3 linked regions of the Drosophila melanogaster genome follow. Changing the gene in region 2 together with the main gene of any one other region gives a genetic interaction. Each region holds a gene or a part of one and is shown on either strand. Other genes may lie near its edges.

What was found.
Region 1: of p38a (region 2) and Ask1, changing one suppresses a phenotype caused by changing the other (phenotypic suppression), as found in Drosophila melanogaster (one study listed by BioGRID).
Region 3: of p38a (region 2) and Dhx15, changing one suppresses a phenotype caused by changing the other (phenotypic suppression), as found in Drosophila melanogaster (one study listed by BioGRID).

Annotation. Positions count from the first base shown.
Region 1 is NT_033777.3:19,877,744-19,885,738, forward strand, and holds the start of Ask1 (apoptotic signal-regulating kinase 1), read left to right. Parts: upstream 1-1,975; 5' UTR 1,976-2,180; coding exon 2,181-2,300; intron 2,301-2,372; coding exon 2,373-2,567; exon of another isoform or gene 2,568-3,139; coding exon 3,140-3,318; intron 3,319-3,740; coding exon 3,741-4,638; intron 4,639-4,694; coding exon 4,695-5,033; intron 5,034-5,099; coding exon 5,100-5,902; intron 5,903-5,965; coding exon 5,966-6,112; intron 6,113-6,452; coding exon 6,453-7,352; intron 7,353-7,412; coding exon 7,413-7,685; intron 7,686-7,750; coding exon 7,751-7,988; 3' UTR 7,989-7,995. Other genes in the region: Arc42 (Activator-recruited cofactor subunit 42), read left to right, coding at 135-168, 256-465, 534-1,507.
Region 2 is NT_033777.3:24,149,849-24,154,153, reverse strand, and holds p38a (p38a MAP kinase), read left to right. Parts: upstream 1-1,832; 5' UTR 1,833-1,913; intron 1,914-2,012; 5' UTR 2,013-2,060; intron 2,061-2,157; 5' UTR 2,158-2,308; intron 2,309-2,384; 5' UTR 2,385-2,451; coding exon 2,452-3,552; 3' UTR 3,553-3,738; downstream 3,739-4,305. Other genes in the region: CG6178 (uncharacterized protein), read right to left, coding at 1-330, 387-1,057; p38c MAP kinase, read left to right, coding at 3,972-4,305.
Region 3 is NT_033778.4:7,385,245-7,391,593, forward strand, and holds Dhx15 (DEAH-box helicase 15), read left to right. Parts: upstream 1-1,942; 5' UTR 1,943-2,283; coding exon 2,284-2,336; intron 2,337-2,390; coding exon 2,391-3,184; intron 3,185-3,463; coding exon 3,464-3,937; intron 3,938-4,002; coding exon 4,003-4,266; intron 4,267-4,833; coding exon 4,834-4,956; intron 4,957-5,023; coding exon 5,024-5,377; intron 5,378-5,435; coding exon 5,436-5,563; 3' UTR 5,564-5,777; downstream 5,778-6,349. Other genes in the region: cos (costa), read right to left, coding at 1-257, 314-1,025, 1,084-1,735; Gr43a (gustatory receptor 43a), read right to left, coding at 5,778-5,840, 5,903-6,254, 6,311-6,349.

The sequences.
Region 1 (7,995 bases), 4.3 Mb from region 2:
GCAGCCGGTGACCTCCTCTGGTCACACTGTCCATTTTTAATTTTTTGTAATAGTAGAGTTTTTTTTATAACATTTTATCCGTCTTTTATGCAATATATTTAATTATTATTAGTAAGAGGCAATCCCACACAAACATGCAATCAGTACTCACCCGCTCGTTATGCATTGGTAAGACAAACTGATGTGTGGACTTTGAGCCCCAGCCATTTAAATGTTTTCTATAAGCAAGATCCTAAACCAGATATTGATATTCAGCCCGCAGATCTTTAAATGCTCGTCAAATTGCCTCATTGTCGGCGCTTTCGGAGACGCACCAGATGCTGCAGAAGTCCTGCCGGGACTTTGCCAACAATGAGCTCAGTGGAAACGCAGCCAAGTTCGATCGGGAGCACCTGTATCCAGAGAAACAGATCCGCCAGATGGGCGAACTGGGCGTGATGGCAGTAGCGATTCCCGAGGAGCTGGGTAATTAATATTACGCCCACCTCAGCCCTCCTTATAGTATCTCATTGTATCTCTTTATTGTTAATCAGGCGGCACTGGACTGGATTATGTGGCCTACGCCATTGCCATGGAGGAAATCTCAAGGGGCTGTGCCTCTGCTGGCGTCATCATGTCGGTGAACAACTCCCTGTATCTGGGACCGCTTCTCTCTTTCGGAAACGATGCCCAGAAGAAGGACTACATCACACCGTTTACCACCGGCGAACGAGTGGGCTGCTTCGCGCTCTCTGAACCTGGAAACGGATCCGATGCTGGAGCTGCTTCCACCATAGCAACCGACAAGGGAGATCACTTCGTGCTGAATGGCACCAAGGCCTGGATCACAAATGCCTTCGAGGCGGAGGCAGCCATTGTGTTCGCCACCACCAACAAGCAGCTGAAGCACAAGGGCATCTCCGCATTCATTGTGCCCAAGGCTACCAAGGGCTTCTCGCTGGGCAAAAAGGAGGATAAGCTGGGCATCCGGGGATCTTCGACGTGCCAGCTAATTTTCGAGGACTGCGTGGTGCCCAAGGAGAACATGCTGGGCGAGCCGGGTTTCGGTTTCAAGATTGCCATGCAGACGCTGGACGCCGGCCGCATAGGAATCGCTGGCCAGGCGCTGGGCATTGGTCAGGCTGCCCTCGAATTGGCCGTGGACTACGCCCAGAAGCGACAGGCCTTCGGCAAGCCCATTGCCAAGCTCCAGTCCATCCAGCAAAAGATCGCGGACATGTCGTTGGCCATGGAGTCGGCACGTCTGCTCACCTGGCGCGCCGCCTGGCTGAAGGACCAAAAGCAGCCCTACACCAAAGAAGCTGCAATGGCCAAGCTGGCTGCCTCGGAGGCGGCCACCTTGTGCTCCCACCAGTGTATCCAGATCCTGGGCGGAATGGGCTACGTGACCGACATGGCGGCCGAGCGTCATTACAGGGACGCCCGCATCACTGAGATCTACGAGGGCACCTCCGAAATCCAGCGACTGGTGATCGCGGGCTCCATTCTAAAGGAATATGCTAGTTAAGATCAAAGTTATATATCCGTACTACTTGTGTCTCGTTTAATAAAGAACGTTTTTAATATACTATTTTGCTAGTTCTATTGAGTTGTATAATTGTTTATAATAGATAGAAATACATGAAAAAAACACCTACAACATTTTAATTCTTTAGAAAAAGTTAGCAAAACAATAAATCTTCGTTCAAAAAGTAAAGTAAAATAAGTGAAACTCTTGACTACTTTTTAGACGTTGCATATTTGTAAATTAATTAAAATAATGAACCTTAAGTGCTTTTAAAATATATTTATAAACAAAGCTTATTATTTTATATGCCTAATTATATTATATCTTTTAAACCAAATTTTAAATGACTCAAAAAAATGGGAACTTGGCGCCAAAACTGCAGCAAGGCTTTGTCGGTTAGCATATTTGTGTGGTATTTTTGTGACTTCATTCGGTATATTGCTGGTAGCTGTGCAGCGGTCACACAGCAAAAGCAAAAAGTTTCTTTATTTATTTGATAATTATTCGTTACGCGGTAATTAACGCGATGCAAGTGCAGCAGGAACGTGGTAATGAGAGTTTTTGCCACTGAGCTGCGCGTGTCGGCCGTCCAGAAAGTGCAGAAATCGCGTGAAGTGCGCGAAATCCGTCCAAGAGCAGAAAAGTGCCAAGAATAGCTGCGATGGAAACAGCGATGGATGTGGTGTGTGTAATGGATACGGCGGTGGGCGACCATCTGGAGGACCGCCAGTGTGCGCTGGAGGAGATCAAGCAGGCAGTGCAGTCGGCGGGCGCCAACTTTCAGCGGGTTCAGGTGCGCCAGCTTGGTTATACAATGGCATATGGGTGATTTGACTTACATCCCCCCCACTTGGCATCCTTGCAGTTCGAGCGCCTGGACTTCGGCGAGACGAATGTGCTGGAGACGTTTTACAACGCCGATGTGGCCATTATCGACCTGAGCATTCTCACCCAGCAGCGGCCGCTTTCCTATCACTACGGCGTTAGGGAGAGCTTCGGGATGAAGGAGAACATCCTCACCTACAACGACATCGATTCCAAGCAGACGCTCAGTCTCAAGGTGCGTTCGGAAGTGTTTACCTGGCCGGGCGTGCCTGGCAAACATCTGCGTTCGTGATCGGGAATCCGCTTCCGATAAGATAAATGCTATGACCAGCAACTGCGTGGACTCCTGGACTAGTTGTTCTTGCTGATCTTTCTACAGTCGAGCTTCCACAACGCGAACTGAGTTTATAACAAGTCTCTAACCTAGGTGCTTAGACACCTCTTTCTGGAAAATGACTAAAAATTATTCTATCTACTAGTCTTCCTTTAGCAAATTGCAAAAGAAACCGAAAAACTTCCTCTTTCCAGAGGTTAATAACTAAAACCTCTTTCCCATATGGCAGCCAATAATTTGAACTATGGAAGTTCGACTGTATTTCCGTCGAATCGTTTTCGTTATTTTTGTTTTGGCTGCGGCCATAAAGCAACAAAAGCATTGGCCCAGCAATAACAATAACAAATGCGAGCACGCCCACGCAAACACTCAAAGAGGCACGCACACACTAACAGCACGGTGTACACCAACGCAGCGTGGCCTGCATTCACAGTGGCGGTCATTAAATTAGGTACACTCTACTCCCCTTGCAGCTCTCGTGTGCCAACTACCTGTTTCTCAGCTACAAGCGGAATGCGGAGACCAATTCCTGCCACCTGACCAGCCAGCCCAACAGCGGCAACAACAGCAAGGAACCCAATGCCGAAGGACGAGTGCCCACTTTGCAGTGGCGCCTCAAGCGAAAGCTGCAAGATGTTGAGATCCAGTCGAAGTGAGTACAATCTAGGGAGTCCCCTTTTGCAGTAAGTCATGCACGGTGATTGCATATCGGAACACTATTTATAACATCCCCTGCGGCAGATTGGCTGCAAAAGTCACGCCCTGCATCTAAAATGAATCAGACCGATTTATTGTGTTGGCCTTGGAATTGCATATAAAATATCAATAATCGCTGAAAATTCTTAAGTCTCTTTATAGTATCATAATTGTCCTTTCAATTTAAATTACTTCGAACTTTAGTGATACTACTACGGGTTAACAAGTAATGAAATGAAAGTAATTGAAATCTTAAATTTGGTGTACCAGATAGATGCTAAGTTAATTAGTCTTTCAGCCAGAGCACGAAACACTGTTCCTATTATGCATTATTTGTGTACCTAAAAACTAAACGAAGCTATTTTCGGTTATTTACAGAGCCCACATGCGTGAGAAATTTCTGAGTGACATGCGAACGGCGCGGGACACGTACGCCACCAACGGCGCCAAGCTGCAGAGTATATTGCACGAGATGCGAAAGCGGCTGGACGATCCGCATGTCCTGTCTGGCGAAGTGGTACACAGTTTCATGTGCTCGCTGAGGGATGTGCAGGACTACGATGCCATGGTGCGACTGGTCAATGACCTGAAGAACATACCCAACACCCGGAAGTACGTGGAGACGGGCAACATGAGTTTCCTGTACGCCTTCGCCCTGAACCGAAGAAATCGAAAGGGAGACCGTGAAAAGGCTCTGGAATCTTCGCTGAAGGCGCTGGAAAAGAAGGAGAACCACTTTCCGGACATGCTCTGCCTGTGCGGCCGCATCTACAAGGACATCTTTGTGGAATCCGACTACACGGACGCCACCAGTTTGGCGCACGCCATCAAGTGGTACCGCCAAAGCTTTGAGGTGCAGCCGAATGAGTATGCAGGCATCAATCTGGCTACTCTGCTGGTTATCGAGGGCAAGGAGTTTACCAATACGGAGGAGTTGCAGCACATCGGCATGACCTTAAACAATTTAATCGGTAAAAAGGGCAGCCTATCCTCGCTGAGTGAGTATTGGGATGTGGCCACCTTCTTTGAGATCTCCGTTTTGGCCAACGACTACGCCAAGGCGATTCAAGCTGCCGAGTGCATGTTCAAGCTAAAGCCACCCAACTGGTATCTGAAGTCGACCATCGGAAATATCTCTCTTATACATCGATTTCGAAAGAAGCCCGAGGAACGCCAGCCGCCCATCGAGGAGCAGGTGTTCCAGTTCTGGATGGACTTCTTTCTGGAGGCCACCAACACCGAGGAGGTTAAGAACAGCATTCGCTTTCCGATTCTGGTTGGTACCCCTGATCTGCAGTTTAAGCTTTATTATTAACTCAAAACAAATTCCAGATCCTCGAGCCTCAGAAGATTTATATGCCCAGTTATGTGACTATAAACATGGATGCGGATGAGAAGTCCATTCAGATTGTGAACATCTGTTTGGCTCACGCAAAGAATGCGTGTAAGAAAATCCACGACTTCCTTTTCGTGGCATCGAAGATCAAGTCCGTCAGCCTTTACAAGAGGGATGATCGTTGTGCCTACTTGTACGTCCATCACAACTCAGATGATTTTCAAATATATTTTCCCTCCACTGAACGACGACAAAAGTTCTACGATATGATCCTGGAGATGACTGCAGATCAGGTGGTGTTTGTCAATCTCAGCAATGATGACGCTAATATCGAGGTAAGTTATTTATTATTCATATATACATATATTCCGGCCACTTTTGCTAATTATTATTAATTGTAGTACGAGTACGACTACGATGAGCAGAATCGCAAAATGGTGCTGGGCAAAGGTACTTATGGCACCGTGTACGCCGCCAGGGACAAGCAGACGCAGGTGCGAATCGCCATTAAGGAGGTGCCGGAAAAGAACTCGCAGGATGTGCAGCCACTGCACGAGGAGATTAAGTTACACTCTCAGCTGCGACATCGCAACATAGTTCGCTATTTGGGATCGTGCTCGGAGAACGGCTTCTTCAAGATCTTCATGGAGCAGGTGCCGGGAGGATCGCTTTCCGACCTCTTAGAGACCAAATGGGGTCCGCTCAAGGACAACGAGTCCACCATGGCCTTCTACTCCAAGCAGATCCTCGAGGGGCTGAAGTACCTTCACGAGCAGGACATTGTTCATCGCGATATAAAGGGTGACAACGTGCTGGTTAACACGTATAGCGGCGTGGTTAAGATCTCCGATTTCGGCACCTCCAAGCGGCTGGCCCGCATCAACCCGATGACGGAGACCTTTACGGGCACCTTGCAGTACATGGCGCCGGAGGTGATTGACCAGGGAGTACGCGGCTATGGCCCGGCGGCTGACATCTGGTCCTTTGGATGCACAAACGTTGAGATGGCTACGGGCAAACCACCGTTTATCGAGCTGGGTAGCGCCCATGCGGCCATGTTCAAGGTGGGCTTTTACAAGAAGCATCCGAACATACCCGAGGAGCTGTCCGCCAACGCAAAGAACTTTATTTTGCGTTGCTTTGCCATCAGCGTGATGGACCGACCCTCCGCCTCGCAACTTCTGGAAGATCCCTTCCTACAAGAGTGAGTTTGCTTAATTGTTTTGCCTAATTCCTTTCTAATTGCACTTTTAATTTTCTCAATAAGTAAACCCCGCAAGGTGCGCCCAGCCCTGCCCATCAATACTGAGTTCGGACGCAGCATTTCGGTGCCGGCTGATCGGTTTGTGCACAAAACCACACCGCCGCTGAGCTACAACACAACCTGCAATACGCCCACAACGCCGGAATTGGAGTAAGTTAAACGCTGCGACTATTCTTATCATGTTCGACCTTCCTCAATTACAAGCAGAGGTTATCTTATCTGTTGAAAATTATCATTTATATTTTGCTAATTTTAATGAATATAAAAATTTTTCCGTGCTTCTCTATATTTTCCCATATCGTCTACTATTATAAGAGTAACAAGTGCCTTTGCTTATCGTGTAGTTAACACATTGATTGTTGCTATCAGTAAAGTGCATATTTAATGATTGGAAAATGCGCACTCGGATTTTGATACTGAGAAGAGATAGCACTTGATGTATTGTAAAATAAACGTAATTTTATATTGTACTTTCTGTTTCCTATTTCAGCATAACGCATTCATCCTCGGTGGACATTGACGAGCTGCCCAGCAACCAGTTTATGCTTGAACGGCGAAATTCCCATGGATTTTTGCTCTCGCCAGAGATTGAACCTTCCACGCCGTCCTTGCGTACGAGCATTAGTGAGACGAGCGAGACTGACGGTTTTTACAGGCTTAAAAAGGATTCGCAGAGGCGGACAACGCTTTCCAAGGTGCTGGCACTAGACGAATCCAAGATCTGCGATATTTGGCTGAAGAAGGTCGACGCTGATCAGAACTCGATTGCGATTAGGAAAAGCGATTTGGAGGTTCTAATCCGAGGACTGCGGGACTACATTATGAACGAAAACGAAAAGCATTTGGAAGCGACTATCAACGAACTGAAACAAAAGCTGAACAACGACGCAGTTGCTCTGGACCATCTTCATTTGGCGCTGTACTCCTTTCAGGACGCCGTGGTCTGCGTACTGCGGTACCATTGCATCAAACCCCATTGGATGTTCGCATTGGATAATCTGGTTAAGCGGGCCGTCCAGGCGGCGGTCACTATTTTCTCTCCTGAACTGGGCGCCAATCTGGCGGACAAAGACCTGTCTGGAAATGATGATGAGAGCTTGCGTACAAGTCTAATGCAGAAGGGTTCCACCGAGAGCCAGGAAAAGCAGAGCCTGGAAAAAGTTCTTCCCACGAGCAACACTCGCGAAGGTGTGGGATTAACGCCTGCGGAATCGGGCGGGGATGCTCTGTCCAGTTCGATGGAGTGCGCGCGCATCCTGAGAGACATCCGTGACAATCAGCAGAAGCTGCAACGCCAGCTCCTTGAGCAGCAGCGGCAGAGCATGAGGGCCCTGCATAATATCAGTCAGGAGCTGGCTCACATTTACATGGGCGGCAGAAAGAGATTAAGGTTGGTAAACCAAGTAGGACATTGTAAATTTTATTATAATTCACAATTTCATCTTAACAGACGCACAATAAACGGCTTTAACAAAAAGTGCCATAGAATGAGTACCAGTGTGGGCGGAACGTCCGGAGTCCGTCCGAATATAGCGGGCAATCCCCGGAGGCAGCTAAACAAGCATCACTTTGGTCTTCACGAAGTAGACGAGCAGTTGGAGCAGTGGTTGACCCAGCAGGAAATAGACGAGTTCTCAAAGACGCTCATCCTGAATGAAGGTTTTACATTTGACGACTTTATCTATAACATGGAAAAGCTGGACCTCATGAGGCTGGGTCTGCGGTGCGTTAAAGCTTATAAGAAAAGTACACTTAATCCATGCTCAACTAACTTTTGGTATTTTGCAGCGTTGGCATCGAAGTGCGTTTGTGGAAACTCATTATACAAGAACGTGTGTGCACCTCGTCCGATTGTGTGGACAGTCCACCAAGCACTTACCACAAACCCATTGGAGGCAATAGCTCTTTTGCGCTTATTGACAACAACAATACGCTACCATCACCCACAACCACAACTCCCGGAACGCCGGGCATCAAAACGAAAATCAAGAAAAGCGAAAGCGAGTACGATTCGTGCAGCGAGTGACTGGAGT
Region 2 (4,305 bases):
AATGGCACTCCAATACGCTCCTTGATCTGATCCTCAGTTTCGCGACTGAGTGGAGCTGCTCCACACAGCAGGACCATCAAAGAGGACAAATCGTACTTATCCACGATGGGGTGTTTAGCCAAAAAGACCATCAGTGGTGGCACCATGAAGGCCATCATCACGCGATACTTTTCAATGGCAGAAAGGAAGAGCTTTTCCTCGAACTTGGGCAGGTATACCAATCGTGCGCCAACGCAGGCGGTGGTGATAAGCGTCAGACAGCCGAAGGCGTGGAACCAGGGAATGACAGTGAGTAGAGTGACCTCCTCCATTGGAATGACAGTGGGTTGGCTATTAAAGAAAAATCATTTAAAAGAAACGCCTTTATAGCATATTATTAAACTTACATTTGTGAGTCGAGAGTGGCCAGCAGGTTCATTTGGGTCAGCTGCACTCCTTTAGGAAGTCCGGTGGTTCCAGAAGAGCACACAATAAGAGACACGTCCTCGTCCTTATTGGCCGCAGGGCTCGTGAAGTCAGGCTGTGTCTTGAACTTCTCGTCCTCCATCAGCTCCTTAAGATCATAGATGTTCTTAAATTTCTTGGAAGTTCCACTGAGCGCAATGATGCCCTTGACGAACTTATTCTTGCTGGCCACTTTGGCAACACGATCAATGGTAATCTTAGAGGCGAATATGATCTTTGGCTTGGACAAGTTAATGGCGTGGTCCACCTCACGATCGGAATATGTTACGTTAAGGGGAGCAACCGTAGCCCCAACTGCTAGACCAGCGAACATGGCCAGGGCGAAGTTGACGCTGTTTTCGCTAGACAAACCAACGACGTCATTCTGTTTGACTCCCAGTTTTTGAAGGATGTATGCCAGCCGTACAATGGACTTGTGCATGAAACTGGCAGAGTACTCCACTCCATTGACGGCATCCACCAGCACCGTCCGGTCGCCAAAGCTCTTGTACTTGTCGAGGATGTACTGACCCAAGGATCTGCTATCCTGGGCCTGTCGTTCAGTCACAGGACCTCCGTACACAATGTTTCCGGGCAGTAGCTTTGAAGTCATTTTGTGTCTGCAAAGAGAAAGAAACATGATAGTTTTGCATTTTATGATGAGCTATAATGGAAGATAACGAACTGTGGGTTATCTACCAAAAATTATACACGCCTTTGGGGAGTGTGAAGTTTTCCTCGAAAATATTAAAAGAAAAACGGTTCAGGGGTTGAAGTTATAGCAACCCTTCAAACCATACTTTGAACCCCCCGGACTATCTAATCGCATTCGGTTCGCAGATCTTTTACTTGTGCTGAACATGCCATCGATGTTAACAATGTTCCCGCTATCTGAGATAGTGGACTACAGAAAATCTGCATGTTTGCCAGTCCAGGTTCCAAAGGTCGCAGTTCACAGCGGTTGAAGTGGCTTCTTCCAGCTCCCCTGCGGTCTAACATTTAGGCTTTCAAGCGAACACTCGTTAAACCATGTAATGTTTATCTTTTATACCGCTAATATATTCAGTATCATTCAGATAAACTCGTCAATTTACTTATGTACATACGCTAAAGTTTTCTAGGTTACGATGCGAGCGGGAGCGGCTTGCGTGCGAAACTAACTGTTCGTCGGAGAATGGTAGGGCGGAATGTCAGGCTGCGTTTACGGAACGATTAGATTAGCTTATTTGATAACCCCGGCGTTGAAACTGCGCAGGCGCGAGTAGTGTCTCTGACTATTTTTCATTCAAAGTACACCAAAAGTGCAACAAAAAATGGGTCAGGGGATGGTGCTGCTCAAATTTGCAGGAAAAACAAGAGACAGCTGATTCAAATACTTATTCGATAAATTCTTATTGAACTGTCAGCTGACGGTCTGGCAACGCCGTGTGTTTATTTTCATTTAAACGCTCTACACTCCAAATTTTACGGTATATGGGCTTTAAAAATATATTATATTACCTAATTTTTAGAATATTATTAAAAACTAACAAAATTATTTAATTTTAATCCCTTTATTCACATTTAAGGACATCGATAAGAGTGGAAAAAGAGACTTGTTACAATGCAATGATATGGTTAATATATTATTTTATTTATTTACTTATATATTAAGGATTTTTTTTAATATCGTGCCAAAAATGATTTTAACAACTTTACTCTGATCAAATGTAGCGCATTCGTGTGTCGCTTCTGATCGATCTGATCCACTGACGATCTGATTCATGAATGCCTAACACGCATCGGAATGGAGTAATAGCGCAAATATAGGAAAAATGCCAGGGACCAGTACTTAGTTGTTGATATTCTTGGGCGTGGAACAGAGGTAAGTACTACTGACGCAGAGCTGCCTCAAGATAAACGTAATCAGCATGGAATTATCGTTCGCATGGCATTTTAAGAATCAATACATATCTCGCTTATAGGCACCATTAACTAAGGTGACGACGCCCTTCCTCAAGCAATACCATGTCAGTGTCCATTACAAAAAAGTTTTACAAGTTGGATATAAATCGAACGGAATGGGAGATCCCGGATATATACCAGGATCTGCAGCCCGTGGGATCGGGAGCTTACGGACAGGTGTCAAAGGCAGTTGTTCGTGGCACCAATATGCATGTGGCCATTAAAAAGCTTGCCAGGCCTTTTCAATCAGCTGTCCATGCAAAGAGGACGTACCGGGAGCTTCGACTTTTAAAGCATATGGATCATGAGAACGTAATCGGTCTGCTGGACATATTCCATCCACATCCCGCTAATGGATCGCTGGAGAACTTCCAACAGGTGTACTTGGTTACCCACTTGATGGACGCAGATCTGAACAACATCATACGGATGCAGCACTTGTCCGACGACCACGTCCAGTTTTTAGTCTACCAGATACTCCGTGGCTTGAAGTATATCCACAGCGCCGGAGTGATCCACCGTGATCTTAAGCCCTCAAACATTGCCGTCAACGAGGATTGCGAGCTGCGCATTCTAGACTTCGGGCTGGCCCGCCCAACGGAGAACGAGATGACAGGCTATGTGGCCACGCGTTGGTACCGGGCACCTGAAATAATGCTCAATTGGATGCACTACGACCAAACAGTGGACATCTGGTCGGTGGGCTGCATCATGGCCGAACTAATTACCAGACGAACCCTCTTCCCAGGCACCGACCATATTCACCAGCTAAACCTGATTATGGAGATGTTGGGCACGCCACCCGCCGAATTTTTGAAGAAGATCTCATCGGAAAGTGCACGTTCCTACATCCAGTCACTTCCGCCTATGAAGGGACGAAGTTTTAAAAATGTTTTTAAGAACGCCAATCCGCTGGCCATTGATTTGCTGGAAAAGATGTTGGAGCTAGATGCCGAAAAGCGGATCACAGCCGAGGAGGCTCTTTCCCATCCATATCTGGAGAAGTATGCGGAGCCCAGCGTCGAGCAGACCTCACCACCATACGATCACAGCTTCGAGGATATGGATTTGCCCGTAGACAAATGGAAGGAATTGATCTACAAGGAGGTCACCAACTTTAAGCCCCCACCATCGTATGCTCAGGTTCTAAAGGATGTAAAGTGAACACAAACCATCAAGAATTTAAAGTATTACATAGGCCAATTTATTTGTTATAGCCTTTATGTTCCAACCATGTCTTTTGTACTCAAATTTATCAATTCTTAGTGTTAACTTTTTATTTTGTTTTTTTGCTGCTTACTGCTTATTTAACAAAAAATTTGTTTTATAAAAACATCAAGTTATTCAACTAAAAACCTTATTTTTGTCACCTCTTGGGCAGGATCTTTGGGTCTATAGCATATGTGTGTATCTCCGGTCATACAGATGACTGAATCGAACAAGTTTAGTGTTCTGTCAGTCGAATGTGCACTGATAGATAAGGTGTTGAGAAAAGATAAGAGTTTAGCGGGTGACTAAATGCAAGCTCAGTTTTCTTTCTGTTTCCTTTCGTAGAAGACATATTTTTGCACATTTAATCCAGAATGCCGGAGTTCGTGAGAGTGGCAATTAACGAAAGCCTTTGGGAGTTCCCGGATATATACGAGTTCGTTCGTTTTCTGGGTGGCGGTTCCTTTGGCCAGGTGGCTAAGGTGAGACTACGAGGCACTGAAAATTACTTCGCTATGAAAAGGCTTATGCGCCCATTCGAGAGGGAGGAGGATGCTAAGGGTACCTATCGCGAGATCCGTCTGCTGAAGCACATGAATCATCGAAATGTTATCAGCCTGCTGAACGTCTTCCATCCACCAGCGCACAACATGATGGAATTTCAGCAGGTTTATTTGGTGACTCACCTGATGGACGCGGATTTGCACA
Region 3 (6,349 bases), on a different chromosome or scaffold from region 2:
TTTCTATCTTGTCGTCCAGATCGGGCCGATGCGACTCATTGTCTGTGTCGTTTTCGTTGTCGGAGTTTGGCGACTCCGAATTGGCTGCTTCAGAATTCACGTCCTCGGGCTCCTCGGCCTCCAGAATGGGAACCAACTGTTTTTGCTGACGCATAGCCTCTGTTGAGCTGAGACACTCCTCGCACTCCTGCTTGAGGAAGAGCCACTCCTCGATCTGCTCCTTCTCCACTTCAGTAATTAGCTTGGAGTCTATCAGCCTATAAATTTCTTTTGTCGTCAAAAGGCCCACATCGGAAATAATGTGTACACTTACTTGGAAAATAGCCCCTCGGCGTTGGTAACTAGTTTGGACCATTGGCTTGCTGCGAATTGTAGGCCAAAGTTGTCCCCTGGTCCCGCCTGCGACAAGGGTCCAGCAGAGGAATTGGATTCGGGAACAGGCTCAGCCGGCTGAACGATCATCGTGTTGTCGTCGGAGTAGGTGTTCATAATTACAAAATTACGTACGCACTGCACCTTAAAGGCGAACTGCAGGTTGCCAAGAGTTTCGGGCAAGTGCTCTTCCAGCGGTGACACGCACAGGATCACGAGCGTCTGAGCCCGTCCGCCGAACGAGTCCTTCAGGAGAGTGGTGAGCGTGGTCTGACCGTACGGAATGTTGCCATTAACCCCGTACATGAGGCCTGGATCTGTGAGAGTACTGATCACCTGCTCCAGCATACACAGGCCAGCATCGAGAGGACGTCCCGGTGGCTGGTCTCCACATCTCTCTGTGCCGCAGAGATCCGAGAAACTGGCCGTGGACAAGCGGTGCTGCAACAGCCCCTCCTTGGACACCCACTGCTGCTCCAGGGTAAGCGTGAACAGGGTGTGCGCCGGCAACGATTGGCGGGCCGACAGACCCACCTGCAACCAGTGGAAGACGGCATCTACGTTGGTGCAGTGTATGTTTCCCATGCCCAACAAGTCGCAGACATCACCTCCGCAAATTTCCACGAATCCCACGTTGATGGCATAGGTGCGTTCTTAAAGTGAAAATGGAAATGGATAACTATGCTTATAAGATCCTTTTAGTAAACTCACCTGGGTGCAACGATATGTGTGAGAAAATGTCACGGACACAAAGTTGGACGACTCCTTCGGTGGAATCCGTCAGAGTAGGGTCCTGGACGTTTCCGTAGAGTGTGTAGCTTTTGCCCTGGCCCCTCTGGCCATAGGTGACTACAGATGCGTCGAAACCTTCCAGGAACAGGGTGATGAGCGGAAAGACCGTCTGGTGGTACACTTGCTCCTGGGAGCTGCTGCTGGGCAGGGCGTGGGTGACCGGAACCGTGTGGGGACCGACTTGTATCAGTCCAGCTGCAATGCTGTCCATGGGATCTCCGCCTGGCAGGGCACTGGGCAATCCCAGGGCCGAAGCGCTGATGGGAATAGCCTGAACGCAATATGCGGAGTCTGGGTAATCCTTCTGACCACTGTCGTTGCCATTGGCATCTGGAATTGTCTTCGAATCGGCCGCACTGTCCTGCTCAGCATTCCCGTTTGGGTCCGTCTCTGAAATTGACGGATTGTCCTTCTCAGCCGCCGGAACTTGAGCCTCGGAGTCCTTGGAGTCCGCCCCCTCATCCACCGCCTGCGCATCCTTTTTGGGCTCTGTGGGGCCGAAGCTCCTCAACAAGTCCTTGAGCTCTCTATGCGGGAAGATGCGCACCGCTACCTGAATGGGTATTTCCATGGTGGTTAGGCAACTAGTCCTGGTCTCGCAGGAGCTCTTTCATTCGATATCCTGCTCTTTGTTTCGCATCTTTGCGCTTTCAAATACGTGCAAAAATTCAACTCCCTCCGAATCGATACAATGTGATAGTGTGGCCGACGCTAAAGCGCCAACCCAAGCCGAAAATACCGAATCCATGTAACAGTTTGTTACTGTAAAAATCAAAATCAGTTTCCAATCAAATTGCTGTCAAATGTCAATTTTAAGACTGTGAGCTCACAACTATTCTTCAAACTGGTGAGTAAAACCGAATTCTATAGATAGATTCTCGTCAAAAGACTTAAGCTTGAACTGCTGTTTTTTTTTAAATGCCAAATTGCTGCCGTGCTGTTGGTTGTGATCTTCGCTAACCATGGGCTTATATAGTATACACAGACAGTAAACTTTGGTATTTTAAAAGTTGCGATCAGCATGGTCGGTATATGCTAAAGGTCTCACTGAGCGCGTGTTTTTTTTTGTGCTAAACGCTTCGTTTTGAGAATTAAGTGCAGTAATCACCATAAATTAGCATGTCCAAGCGTCGAATCGAAGTGGGGGAGACCTACGGCAGCAAGGCGAAGAAGTAAGTGACCCGAGGCCAACATACGGCAGTAATGTAACGCTCCTTTCTCACCAGGGACCCGGAGGCGTCCTCCTCGTCGGCGGCAGCCGCTGCCGGCACAGTGGCTCAAATCCTGGGCGGATTCGTGCCCAACAAGCAACCGCCCACGATGAACCCGCTGACCAACACGCCGTACTCACAACGGTACCAGAATCTCTACAAGAAGCGCATTGCGCTGCCCGTGTTCGAGTACCAGGCGGACTTTATGCGGCTGCTCAGCCTGCACCAGTGTATTGTGCTGGTGGGCGAGACTGGCTCCGGCAAGACGACCCAGATCCCGCAGTGGTGCGTGGACTTCGCAGTATCCAAGGGGCGCAAGGGAGTCTCCTGCACACAGCCACGTCGAGTTGCCGCCATGTCCGTGGCCCAGCGCGTTTCGGAGGAGATGGACGTAAAACTGGGCGAAGAGGTCGGCTACTCCATCCGTTTCGAGGACTGCTCCACGGCCAAGACGCTGCTCAAGTACATGACCGATGGTATGTTGTTGCGCGAGGCCATGTCTGATCCCATGCTGGACCAGTACCAGGTCATTCTGCTTGACGAGGCTCACGAGCGGACCTTGGCCACTGACATTCTAATGGGCGTGCTCAAGGAGGTCATTCGTCAGCGCAGCGACCTTAAGCTGGTGGTCATGTCCGCCACACTGGACGCCGGCAAGTTCCAGCAGTATTTCGACAACGCACCGCTCATGAAAGTGCCCGGTCGCACACATCCCGTGGAGATCTTCTACACGCCCGAACCAGAAAGAGATTACCTAGAGGCTGCTATTCGCACGGTAATCCAGATACACATGTGCGAGGAAATTGAGGGTAAGTTGGTAAATGAGTTTAGCTTGGAGTTCATTTAATAGCTTGCTAGTTCATTGTTCTAAGAAGCATTTATCGATCATATGTTTACAATGTAAAAGTGCCAGGCAAAATATAAACTTTCCGAGTGCCGAAGGGCGGCAAATGCTTCGTATTTGCTTTAATGGTATTGTAATCATTCAAGTGTTTACGACTTTTGAATATGATCCTATTCAATGCCGGAAAAGACGCATTCGCTTTTTCCATTGTAAACTAAACCCCAACTTGATTTTGCTACTCTAGGTGATATCCTAATGTTCCTCACGGGCCAGGAGGAGATTGAGGAGGCTTGCAAGCGCATCAAGCGCGAGATCGACAATTTGGGCTCAGAAATTGGAGAGCTGAAATGCATTCCCCTGTACTCGACGCTGCCGCCCAATTTGCAGCAGCGCATCTTCGAACCGGCCCCGCCGCCAAATGCTAATGGCGCAATTGGACGCAAGGTCGTGGTGTCCACCAACATTGCCGAAACCTCGCTGACCATTGACGGAGTGGTGTTCGTGATTGATCCAGGCTTCGCCAAGCAAAAGGTGTACAATCCTCGCATTCGAGTGGAGAGTCTGCTCGTCTCACCCATTTCAAAAGCGTCTGCGCAGCAGAGATCCGGTCGTGCTGGACGTACGCGTCCTGGCAAGTGTTTCCGTCTGTACACGGAAAAGGCGTTTAAAAACGAGATGCAGGACAACACCTACCCCGAAATTCTGCGCTCCAATTTGGGTAATGCCTAGATCCCCTGGAAGTATTACTCGATTTCTAATATCTTGTTTCTTATTTTTGAGCAGGCACTGTGGTTCTGCAGCTCAAGAAGTTGGGCATCGATGATCTGGTGCATTTCGATTTTATGGACCCCCCTGCTCCAGAGACCTTGATGCGTGCCCTGGAGTTGCTCAACTATCTGGCCGCCCTGGATGATGACGGAAATCTTACAGACCTGGGTGCCGTTATGTCCGAGTTTCCATTGGATCCGCAGCTGGCCAAAATGCTGATTGCCAGCTGCCAACATAACTGCTCTAATGAAATACTTTCCATAACGGCCATGTTGTCGGGTGAGATAAAACACAAATCTAAGAAACTGTCTTCGATAAGTTGGGGGTCGCACTTATACTTTCATGGCTGTCACTTTTCGTTTTTCAAATACGTAAATACGACTTGTACCTAATTTCGATTTGTGCCGATGCATACTTTCATTTATTTCCGTTAAAGTGGCTGCCGTGAATACTTTCTACGTTATAAATTGAAAGTCTGAGGTTTCGGGGAAGTATATTCTATATTCTTGAAGGGATTTATGTAATTTCTTAAGCAACAATGCAAAGGAAAAAGTTTTTCAATTTATTTGTTCTTTGCATTCAACTCGAAAAGAAAAGTTGCACATGCGTTTAAAAGTCCAAGCCCATTATTTGAATGGATTGATGTGCAAAATATGCCCGAATAAATAGTGTTTTTATCTTTTAATGTTCCGCGAACGCACTTGCAACTCACAAATGCAATCAATCTTTGAATCAAGCCTCTAGATTGCCTAGCTGACAAAATGAAAGCACAATCTATTTGTTTATGTTAAAAATTGTTTTGAACTTGCGCTTAATCGAAACTAAACCAATTCAAACGTGCCAAAGTTCCACAATGCTTCGTTCGCCCCAACGAGGCGAAGAAAGCTGCCGATGAGGCCAAGATGCGATTCGCCCACATTGACGGAGACCACCTGACGTTGCTTAATGTCTATCACGCCTTTAAGCAGAGTAAGTAAACTAAACCAACCTATACTCGAAATGGAAACATAAAGACATATTTCTTTATTTCTTTCAGGCAGTGAGGATCCAAACTGGTGCTACGAGAACTTCATAAACTTCCGCTCGCTAAAGAGTGCGGATAACGTGCGCCAGCAGCTGGCTAGAATCATGGACCGCTTCAACTTGCGGCGCACGAGCACTGAATTCACCTCGAAGGACTACTATGTAAACATCCGAAAGGCCCTCGTGCAGGGCTTCTTCATGCAGGTGGCCCACCTGGAGCGCACTGGCTACTATCTGACCATCAAGGACAACCAGAACGTGCAGCTGCATCCGTCGACTTGTCTCGACCACAAGCCCGATTGGGTCATCTACAATGAGTTCGTGCTGACTACAAAGAACTACATTCGCACGGTGACAGATGTCAAACGTGAGTAGCAACTTCCGCATTTCAGGGTCATTTTTGTAAGCATTTCTTACATTTATAGCTGAATGGTTGTGCTGCCTGGCGCCCCAATATTATGACTTGAACAACTTCCCCCAGTGCGAGGCGAAACGACAGCTGGAGTTGTTGCAACAGCGGTTGGAGACCAAGCAGTACCAGAAGGGTTTCTAAGTCCCCCCAGAGTATGGCTAGTTGTAATATGATGGAGAATGGATCATGGATAAGAGTGTGTGAATTTTAGCAAGTTCTAAGAAAAATAACCCGTTTGCTTTTTATTGTTTGCTAACTTGATTCAAGCACATAGACACTTTAACAGATCAATAATATCCAAGAACTCCGTTTAGTTAATAGTGTTAATAAAAAACAAGCCACTTTTTGTATAACTTTAGCCATTGGTCCGTTGAAACTGAATGAGAATCACGAGATAGGTGGCTATGGCGGATGCAAACTGCAACCAGATAGCATTAGAATAATACATGGATATTATTTAAGTGTAGTCTAAATCCTTACCGATGTCAGAATGGTGCGGTTCACGCGGCACAATCCGCAGGCGGAGAAGTCAGCATCTACGACGAGTAACTGCTGCCAAAACTTCTTAACTGCCTCCGCGAGAATGGGCTCGTGCACTTTCCGCTCGATTTCGCAAACAATCTGGATCGTTTTACGGGACTCTCGGGCAGCCAAGTGGCACGGCTCCACCACCATGAGCAGTCGCAGGAAGTGAAAGCAAATCCAGAGCATCTGCACCCACAGGTAGCCGTTATCCCGCTTGCTGAGCAGTTCCAGAAAGAGGAAGTAGGCCGTAGCCACGAGGTGCAGCAGACAGGACACCAGGATGAAGAGAACCGCAATGCCGAAGGAGCTGTCAAGTGCGGGAAGGTAAGAAGCACGAAAACATGGGATGTGGAATAACTTTACTTGGACAGGAGGTGGACACATTTTCCCAGCGACTCGTGA